Linked DNA regions of Oryctolagus cuniculus. The protein of the gene in region 1 interacts with the protein of each later gene in a pairwise test. Links are inferred from orthologs where the notes say so. Each region holds a gene or a part of one and is shown on either strand. Other genes may lie near its edges.

What was found. The genes of interacting proteins can lie anywhere in the genome.
Region 2: the proteins of CDCA7L (region 1) and CTNNBL1 interact in binary tests that used the Homo sapiens proteins (3 or more experiments, as listed by UniProt). The link is inferred for Oryctolagus cuniculus from reciprocal best matches to the Homo sapiens genes CDCA7L and CTNNBL1.

What each region holds. Positions count from the first base shown.
Region 1 is NC_091447.1:13,942,804-13,947,876, forward strand, and holds the start of CDCA7L (cell division cycle-associated 7-like protein), read right to left. Parts: upstream 3,333-5,073; 5' UTR 2,942-3,332; coding exon 2,913-2,941; intron 890-2,912; exon of another isoform or gene 875-889; coding exon of another isoform or gene 857-874; intron 1-856. UniProt on the Homo sapiens protein: Plays a role in transcriptional regulation as a repressor that inhibits monoamine oxidase A (MAOA) activity and gene expression by binding to the promoter.
Region 2 is NC_091442.1:20,960,380-20,965,191, reverse strand, and holds the start of CTNNBL1 (beta-catenin-like protein 1), read left to right. Parts: upstream 1-1,635; 5' UTR 1,636-1,863; coding exon 1,864-1,893; intron 1,894-4,812. UniProt on the Homo sapiens protein: Component of the PRP19-CDC5L complex that forms an integral part of the spliceosome and is required for activating pre-mRNA splicing.

The DNA of each region.
Region 1 (5,073 bases):
TGGGCACCCTGAGCAGGTGCTGCAGCCAAGACCTTACAGCTGGGGGGGGGGGGGGGGACGGTGGAGGGAAGGGAGGGAAGAGATGAGAGTGGCAAATTCCAGAGGCATCTGAGAAGGCAGCAGAGGACCTCACGTGCCTGGGCCCCTGCCACCCATGTGGGAGGCCTGTAGAGTTCCAGGTTCCTGGTTTCAGCCTGGCCCAGCCCCATGCGTTGTGGCCATTTGGGGAGTGAACGAATGGACAGAAGATCTCTCTGTGTCCCCCTCTCTCTCTGTTACTCTGCCTTTCAAAATAAATAAAATAGGGGCCGGTGCTCTGGTGTAGTGGGTAAAGCCACCGCCTGCAGTGTTGGCATCCCATATGGGCGCCGGTTCAAGTCCTGGCTGCTCCACTTCCAGTCCAGCTCTCTGCTGTGGCCTGAGAAAGCAGCAGAAGACGGCCCAAGTCCTCGGGCCCCTGCACCCACGTGGGAGACCTGGAAGAAGCACCTGGCTCCTGGCTTCGGATCGGTGCAGCTATAGCCATTGCGGCCAATTGGGGACTGAACCAGCAGATGGAAGACCTCTCTCTCGGCCTCGCCTTCTCTCTGTAACTCTTGACTTTCAAATAAATAAATCAAATAAATCTTTAGAAAAATATTAGGGACACTCCCTACTTTCCAGAGACTGCCAAGGCCAGGCTTAGGGAGAAGCCATCTTTCATCTCTGAACCAAAATGAGAAAACAGGCATGGATCTCTAAAAACCACCTGTCTTTCATTCTTTACTGGTGGGTTTGTCTTTAAATGCTACACATGTAAAAGATTCCACAGAACATCAGCAAAGCCTTTGCTTAAATAATTTCCACCTATACTTACCATTCTGTTCTCTGTCATGTGCTGAAAGTCCACACAATAGAATAAGTGGCTTTTCCATCTTTCCCATGTTCCAAATCAATGGCAGTAGTCGTGGGATCAATTCCAAGAGAATGCAAACGCCATGAGTGGCAAGTATCCCCAGAGGATGTCGTGAGCACACCTGGCCTCACAGACGCGAATCTGCCAGGGGTTCCTCCCTGTGGGCTCACTGCCTGTCCCCTCCCACGTCAGTGCCTGAAAGCTCAGACACACAGCACGAGGAGGAGCTTCTCCCCGGAATCGCCACTCCCCACCACACGTCCAAGCATTGGGTTGACCTGTGTCTATAGCTCTGCTAAGTGAAACTTGGCTGTTTCTCACCTCAAAAAACCAGCAACGTACCAGGGACCAACCTAACCCGTGGATTCCCACACACTGCTCAGAATACAAGCTGAGGCTCTCAAATCCGAAACTCCAAGATCACATGGAAAATCCCACCCCAGACGCACGCCACAGCCAGAGGGCAAGCACGCTCAAAGTATATACTCAAATCATCTCCGGGCTATGTGAATAAGCGTGAATGCATTTGTGTTCAGGCTCATGTCTCACGGTTGAGATATCTAACTGCATCTGTGCCACCTGAAAAAACTTCAAGTCCAAAGCACTTCTGTTCCCAAGCATCACAGCCCAGGGACCCTCTCCCTCCACCTGCAATCCACAAACACCACTCGGCCTAAAATTCTTTGCCATACATCTCCCAAGAGTGACAGATCCAAAAATCCATAACTTTTCCTCAAACAGTTCACATGAACAAAATGCTATGACTCTAACATCATCATTTATCCTTTATTTTTTTTTAAAAAAAGATATTTATTTATTTGAAGTCAGAGTTATGCAGAGAAAGGAGAGGCAGAGAGAGAGAGAGAGAGAGAGAGAGAGAGAGAGAGAGGGCTTCCATCAACTAACCCATTCCCCAATTGGTTCCATCTGCTGGTTCACTCCCCAATTGGCCACGACAGCTGGAGCTGTGCTGATCCAGAGCCAGGAGCTTCTTCCGGGTCTCCCATGTAGGTGCCAACTTCCACTGCTTTCCCAGGCCATAGCAGAGAGTTGGATCCAAAGTGGAGCAGCTGGGACTCGAACCGGCACCCATATCGGATGACACCACTGCAGGTGGCGGCTTTACCTGCTGCGCCACAGCACTGGCCTCTCATCATTTATTCTGAGACATCTGGACCATCCACAAGATGTCTTTTGTCACCCTTGGGGGTGGAGGCCAAGGGGATTCACTTAGCAAGGTCCACACATGTCTGTGTGGCCTGACGCTGGGCTGTGCTGCTTTCCACTACCTCTGAGCTCTCTGCTCCCTTCTACCCGCACTCAGGGGAGGCATGCAGCAGCCCTTCCACGCCAGGTGACGTGTACTTCCCAGCGTGCCACAAGAGGAGGGGAAAAACCACATGCAAATCTGGTTTGTAAAATTTCACCCTAAAAGTTTCCCAACAAAACAGGCAGAAGAGAAAGGAACGCGCACACGTGGACAGCTCAGCAACTCTGCCTGGGGGTGATCTCAACTCCTCTGTGTTCCTAACCCAACTCTCCTTCCAGCGCACTGCAAAGCAGCCCCGGACAGCGTGGCAGCTCGGCCTGCGGCGCCATCAAGCGGGCAGGCCATCGCTGTGCACGGTTCCTCGCCTTTCTTTAACCCTACAGCTCATTTGCATTCCGACCCAATCAGGCTCACACATGGGTCACACCTCCTCGGCCCTTTCTTTTTTTTTCTTGCAACTTATTTCTTTAAGAAATGCAGTCATGTGATCCCGTAGCTTGCCACAGTCCGACATTTGGAGAGGCGGAGCACTCATCTGCTGGTTGACTGCCCCCATGCCTGCAGTGCCCAGGGCTGGGCTGGGCCACAGCTGGGGACTCATTCCAGGTCCCCATGTGGGTGGCAAGGACCCAGCCACCTGAGTCGGCCCCACCACTTTCTGAAGCCTGCATTAGCAGGCAACAGGAGTGAGGAGCAGGCACTCTGCCGTGGGCCGTGGGCAGTCTAAGCACGGGGATACACACTCACCCCAGGCTTCTCTCCAGCTGCAGCCCCATGGGGGCGGTCAGCACCACTTCGGGTTTCCTGTAACTTGTAGCTGACTTCCGAGGCTTGCTGAGACTTCGGCTCGCTTGTTTACGACAGACTGCACTTCCTTCGGAAAGCACATGAACGTCTGGCTCGCTTGCGCGCTCGCTCTCTGTGTGCTGCAGCCTGAGCAACAGGGTGGCACCTGCCAGGCTTCTGCATGGCAAAGATACCCTTTGTCCTCGGAGGTCAACAGGCAGGGTGACAGCCGGATTCTGTGACGGCCCGACAGGCTCAGCATCCACGGGCCGCTCTTGCTTCTGCCGCTACCTGCTCTGGAGATGGCGGGGCAGGGACGCTCCCAGGCCAGCGCCCCTTCACAGAGGGGCCGGCATCCCCCGTAACACGAGCACCGAGCACTCACACCCCTCCTCTTCTCTCCCACCGTGTGCATTTAGGGTTTTTATTTTTAAAGATCTATTTGTTTGAAAGAGTGATGGAGAAGGAGGGAGAAACAGAGAAAGACATCTTTCCTCTGCAGGTTCACTCCCCACAGTTAGCTGCAATGGTTAGAGCTTGGCCAGGCGGCAGCCAGGAGCTAGGAACTCCACCGGGGTCTCTCGGCAGGTGGCAAGGGCTCAAGTACTTGGGCCCCCTTCCACTGCCTTCCAGTGCGGGGTTGGAAGCTAAGCATCTGGGACTCACACTGGCACTGCGACGTGGCATGCCGGTATCACCAGCAGCGTCTCAACCCGCCCGCCGCAACACAACACAGACCCCAGACTCTATGTGCTGCCATCCACGCTGTCTTCATTTCATTCTGACGCTCCGACTGTCCCAAAGCTCCAACTGTCCTGGGAGCTCCTTCAAGCCAGCGCCAGTGTCCTCCTGACGCGACGTCGTCATCTGAGTGCCTCACACCAAGCTAACCTTGCCCACGTCCTGCCCCAGACCTCAAGTCAGCCGCGTCTCCAAAGAGCACCTTTCACTGGGGAATGGCTCTGAGACATCAAGACCAGAGCACTCTTCGCGACCTTTGCTGAAGAGCCATCACTCCCCGGACTTGCGCTGTGGTGCGGCGGGTTAAGCTGCCGGCTGTGACTCCCATGTGGGCTCTGGTTCAAGTCCCTGCTACTGTTCCTGGAAACACAGCAGTTGATAGCCCAAGTGCTTGAGTCCGTCACCCACTTTGGAGACCCGGATGAAGCTCCTGGCTCTGGCCTGGCCCAGCCCCGCCTGGCTGTTGTAGCCATCTGAGGAATGAAGCAGCAGATGGAGGATTCTTTTTTTCTCTCTCTTCCCCTGCAACTCTTTCAAATAAATCAATCTCCAATAAATAAACCCATAGATCAGTCAATCAATCCTACTGTCATTGCTCTGGGCTCTTTGGCGAAAGCCAAGACGTCTCCCATCTCTGGCATCGCAAGTTCAGAGGCATGCCCTGAATGAGAGTCGGATGTGGCAGGGTTCCTTCCCACTCCCCACAACCCCATGCTGGCGTCTTCCTTCCCCGATGACGGAAGCCCCCAGTCACCTATATTCCCAGCGCCTTGATCTGTGAGGCACAAGGCACGGTGCCAAGTCACACCACGGACAGACCGCCACCAACAATCAATCACTTTCACGTTTTCTTCACAGCCCTGTCTCCCCTGGGACACCCAGACAGTCACACCTGGGGAGGCAAAGGTGCTGCCATCGGGCGGAAAGTGGACAGAGAGGCCTGCAGGGGGTGACGTTTGCTAACGACTTGTACTGCTCTGCCAGGATGCTCTTAGGTGGAACTGAAGCTTCCTATCAGAGTGCGTGGGGTGAGTGACACAGCGGCCCACTCGGATGCCACTGCCTGGACTCAGGCCGGCAGGCTGTCCCCACCTTGCTGGTGCACAATTAGGACAAATATCAAGGCAGCAAAAATGGCGGCCACAGCTACTCTGACAACAAATCTGCCCTCCTGGACCGAGAGGGCTCAGGGGCCCCCCGTCCACACTCTGACAGCTCCCCTGGCAGGTGCGGAGTGGGGTCCTCAAAAGCCACCTGGATGCCTTGTACGCTGTGTGTGTTCCACGTTGAACTAACTTGACATCCAGTTGGGTTCACCTCACAAATGACTCATCCTTAGTCCTCTTCCTTTTATCAAGATCTTAAATGCTTCTGGTTTAAA
Region 2 (4,812 bases), on another chromosome or scaffold:
GGAAGAAGCACCTGGCTCCTGGCTTCGGATTGGCGTAGTGCCGGCTGTGGCGGCCATTTGGGGGGTGAACCAACGGAAGGAAGCCCTTTCTCTCTGACTCTCTCACTAACTCTATCTGTCAAATAAAAAAAAAAATACTTAGGGAATGAATGAATGATTCACTTTCCAGGTGAGAAGCTGCAATTTAGAGAGACAGAGAAACTTGCCCAAGGGCATACACTAGCTGTCGTGGTAGAACTCGGGCTAGCTCCAGTTAGGGGGGTGCTGGGAGATGTTTAACAACAGACTTTGTAAAAACAACAGCAAACCGTGACCACCCCGATGTGTAGCAGTCACTGGTTCACAGTGTGGAAACACTCCCAAACGTCCTGAAAATAGAGCCGTATTGTGTGAGCCTTCTTACACCAGCTGGCCCTGCATATCATACATTAGAACACAGGGCTGCTCGTGTCCAGGTCTGTTCTGCCTCAGTGAGGAGAAAGGTCACCCGAAGCAAACTCGGTTCAAAGCAGAGTGTACAGACGAGCCTTAAAAAACAAACCAATCACAGAACTGCCTTCCCATGCCTGTGAGCACACAATCCAGTGTCTCCCAAGGCGCACAAGGCCCTGGCCTGGGCTTTGGAGACACACAACCCCCACGATCCTTCTCTCAAACAGCCTTCGCTCCAGGACACAGAGGCTGACGGACAAGAACCAAGCAGCCAAACGTTGAGTACAAAATTACAGACTGAGACACAGACCGTGGAACAGGCCCCAGGGAGGATAGGGACCGGGGAGCCGCTGCCACTTGGAGTGTGGTGAGTTGAGGAAGCCCACTCTCAGAAGGCGACACTTGGTATCAGATGGACCAGTGAGTTGGATGAGGCGTGGCGCTACCAGCCAGGCAGAAGAGAGGATTTGAAGAATGAAATGAATTTCTGTGCAGCTTGAGACAGTGGGATGGGATTATAGATATGAATGTGAAGGGCAGGGGCTTATGGGGAGGTTTAATTCCCTGGGTGGAGTCTGGAAGACAGAGTCTCAGAAGATGAGATGCACTCTTTGATTGTCTTCCAGTGACGGGCAGTTTCTCCTCCAGAAAACCCGTCTGCACCACTTGGATCAGCTCCCAGCGGCCTTGCCTGGATGATCAGAAGCTTGGGAGGAATCCACGACCACCCCCAGGTGCGGTGGCAGTCCTGGCTGTAGGCCCTGGCCCCTCACCTTTGGAGCTAGCCCTGCCCATCGGAAATACACATGAGACCCACAGATGTAAAAATCTTGCAGCCACGTTGAAGGAGTCAAAAGATACGAGAGAGATTAATTTTCTCATCTATTTTATTTGGCCCGAACATTTCGACGTGTCATCAGTCTAAGTCTTGGAAACCCCGTGTGCATTCTGGCTGGATTTCAAGCGCGCGATAGCTACTCTGTGGCTGCGTGGAACATGGTGCTGGCCTATGCCGTTCTGAGCCTCAGTTTCCTTACCTGGATGAAATCGCCTGGACCACCGCAGGGCTTGTGAGAGCACACGTGAGGCCACACCACCCCGCCCTACACAGAGAGGGAGCGCATTAAATCCCGGCTCCCGCCGCCCCTTCTCTCCCCACGCCTCCCTCCTCCAAGTCTCCGCCCCCTTCCCCGCCCCTTTCAGGCTCCAGGCGGAAGCCGTACGGTCACCACTGCGGCGCGCTTTACGGTAGCGCTGCCTTTTTCCGCAGTGTGGCTGCTCGCCTGCCGCACGCACTTTTACCCTATTGGCTCTGCGGGGCCTGGCACAGGGCGCTTTTCGGCAGTGTGGCTGGAAGCGCTGCCGAGCGGCCCGCGGTGTGGGTTTGAGTGGAGGGAACGAGCGGATCGGCTGTTGCCTGGACGGGGAACTATGGACGTGGGCGAACTTCTGAGCTACCAGGTATGAGGGACTGGGGAGACCGGGAGACTGCTCCTCACCGGGTCGGAGATCGCAGGGCCAGAGTGCCTTGGTCTCACCTCGTCTCATCTCCTTCCGGGCCCCCTCGCTTCTGACCTCATCTCACTTCACTCCTGCAAACTTCGCTAGTCCCTTCCTATGCCTGCTCCGGGCCTGAGCCCCTTTGCCTACTCGCACCCCATCCAGAGGTCTGGTTCCCATCGTCCTCTCCCAGCGGCCGCCACCGCCGAGTCGTTGAGTTTGTGCCGCTAGCCTCAGTTTTCTTATCTGCATAGTGGAGACGGTTTCAGCTACTTAGTAGAGTTGTTTGAGGTCTGTGTCAGCTGCTGAGCGTGCAAAGCTGTGCCCGAGTTGGCCGCCCTTGCTGGGAGATGCTCGTAATTCCAGCTTGGGCTGGGCCCCTGGGAAGCAGGAAGGCTCCCTTGTTGGGGTACTTGTGGGAAAACGGGAGGCCGGGCCGAGGTCCCTGAGCAGGTGAGAGCCGGGGTCGGAGCGCAGGTATCCTGACTTCAACCTCGGGATTCATCGCTTCTCTGATTGCCTGAGAGGCTCCGCGTGGGAGGCCGCAGAACCGCCCTGCCCGTCCGGGGTCGGTAGCCGCACGCCCTCCCGACCCCTGACGTGTGGCCAGTCAGAGCTGAGGGGTACTGTGAGTATGAGATCACACTGGGTTCCGAAGACTCAGCGAGAAAAAAGGAGTGTTTTTATAGGATTTTGTGATCACGCTGAGTCTAGCAACCACACTGATTATCGATCATATTGATTAAGTGATCCTATTTTGGATAATGGGTGAAATAAAATACATTTAAAACCAATTTTACTTGTTTCTGTTGACTTTCTAAAAGATGTATTTATTTTTTACTTGAAAGACTGAGCAACAGAATGAAAATGGGAGAGGGAGAGGGAGATAGAGATCTCTGTCTGCTGGTTCACTCCCCAAATGGCAGCAACAAGCTACATCTGGGCCAGGCTGAAGCCAGAAGCCAGGAACTCCATCCTGCTACAGGGGCGGCAGGGACCCAGGTACTTGGGCATCTTCTGCTGCCTTCCCAGGCGCATGAGCCGGGAGCTGGATCAGAAGTGGAATGAGTGCTGTGGTATGGGATGCCATCATGGCAGGCAGTGTTTTAACCTGACTTTTCAATGTGGCCACTAGAAAATTCTAAGGGGCTGGCTCTGGCAGAGTGCGTAAAGCTGCCGCCTGCAGTGCTGTGGCATCCCTTATGGGCACCAGTTCAAGTCCCAGTTGTTCCACTTCACGGGGCCGGCGCTGTGGTGTAGCAGGTTAAGCTGCTGCCTGCAGGTCCAGCATCCCATAAGGGCGCCAGTTTGAGACCTGGCTGCTCCACTTCTTATCCAGCTGCCTATACCCACATGGGAGACCCAGGGAGACCCAGATGAAGCTCCTGCCTCCTGCCTTTGGCCTGGCCAACCGTGGCCGTTGGGCCATTTGGGGAATGGACCAAGGGATGGAAGACACCTTTCTCTCTCACTCCCTCCTTCCTTCCCTCTCCCTCTGCCTTTGCCTTTCTGTGACTCTGACTTTCAAATAAATAGATAAATATTTAAAAAAGTAAGTTCCATATACTGTTGGCCATATTTTCAGTAGGCAGCTCTGCAGTCAAGAATAAGTGATTAAGAGCCATGTGTCTGTAGCCCCAGGTTGTGTGGAATATTTGGCCACTAACTGGCTGCTGTAACCTTGAAGAGACTGTTTAACCTTTCTATTCCTTGTTTTCCTCATCTGTGAGTGGGGCCGATGACGGTACCTTTCATAGGGCTGCTGTTGAGAAATGTAGACCAATGCTTGACAAAGTGTAAATGTTCAATAAATTGCTAATTATTTTCATGCCACTGCCTTAGCCAATATACGGAAACGCCACCCTGGGGGTTCCAGACGTCTGGGGAAAGAACTTGTGGAGCACGCGGGGGTATGCGTAACTCAGAGTTCTTTTAGACAATTGAGTAGACTGTGAAGGAAGGAAGGAAGGAAATAGGAGGGTTGTTGAATGAGTGTTCATTCAGGGTTCCAGCAGGAGGTGTGCCTGTTTGGGAGCGCTGGTGTAAGAAGACAGGGTGTGGGGCCAGCCCCGTGGCTCACTTGGTTAATCCTCCACCTGCGGTGCCGGCATCCCATATGGGCGCCGGGTTCTTGTCCCGGTTGGGGCCCGGGTTCTAGTCCTGGTTGCTCCTCTTCCAGTCCAGCTTTCTGCTGTGGCCCCGGAGGGCCGTGGAGGATGGCCCAAGTGCTTGGGCCCCTGCACCTGCATGGGAGACCGGGAAGAAGCACCTGGCTCCTGGCTTCAGATCAGCGCAGCGCTGGCTGTAGCGGCCATTTGGGGAGTGAACCAACAGAAGGAAGACCTTTCTCTCTGTCTCTCTCTCTCTCTCACTGTCTATAACTCTACCTGTCAAATACATAAATAGAAAACAAAAATTGAAAAAAGTTATTAAAAGAAAACAGGGTGCAGATGGGTGCCTCCTCACACAAGGCATCACGTGTAAGAAAAAGGGGTACAGAACAGAGGAGACAGAGTACCAACTCGCAACTAGACCGAATTTATTCAAAGAAAATAAATCCGCAGAGGTCAACCAACTGCCAGTGTACACACAGACTGAACAAGTGGCAGAGGGCCCAGACCACAGCAGGCTGGGCTTTTTTTTTTTTTTTTTTTTTTTTTTTTTTGGACAGGCAGAGTGTACAGTGAGAAAGAGAGACAGAGAGGAAGGTTTTCCTTTTTCCGTTGGTTCACCCACCAGTGGCCGCTGCAGCCAGTGCCCTGCGGCCGGCGCACCATGCTTATCCGAAGCCAGGAGCCAGGTGCTTCTCTTGGTCTCCCATGCGGGTGCAGGGCCCAAGGACTTGGGCCATCCTCCACTGCACGCCCAGGCCACAGCAGA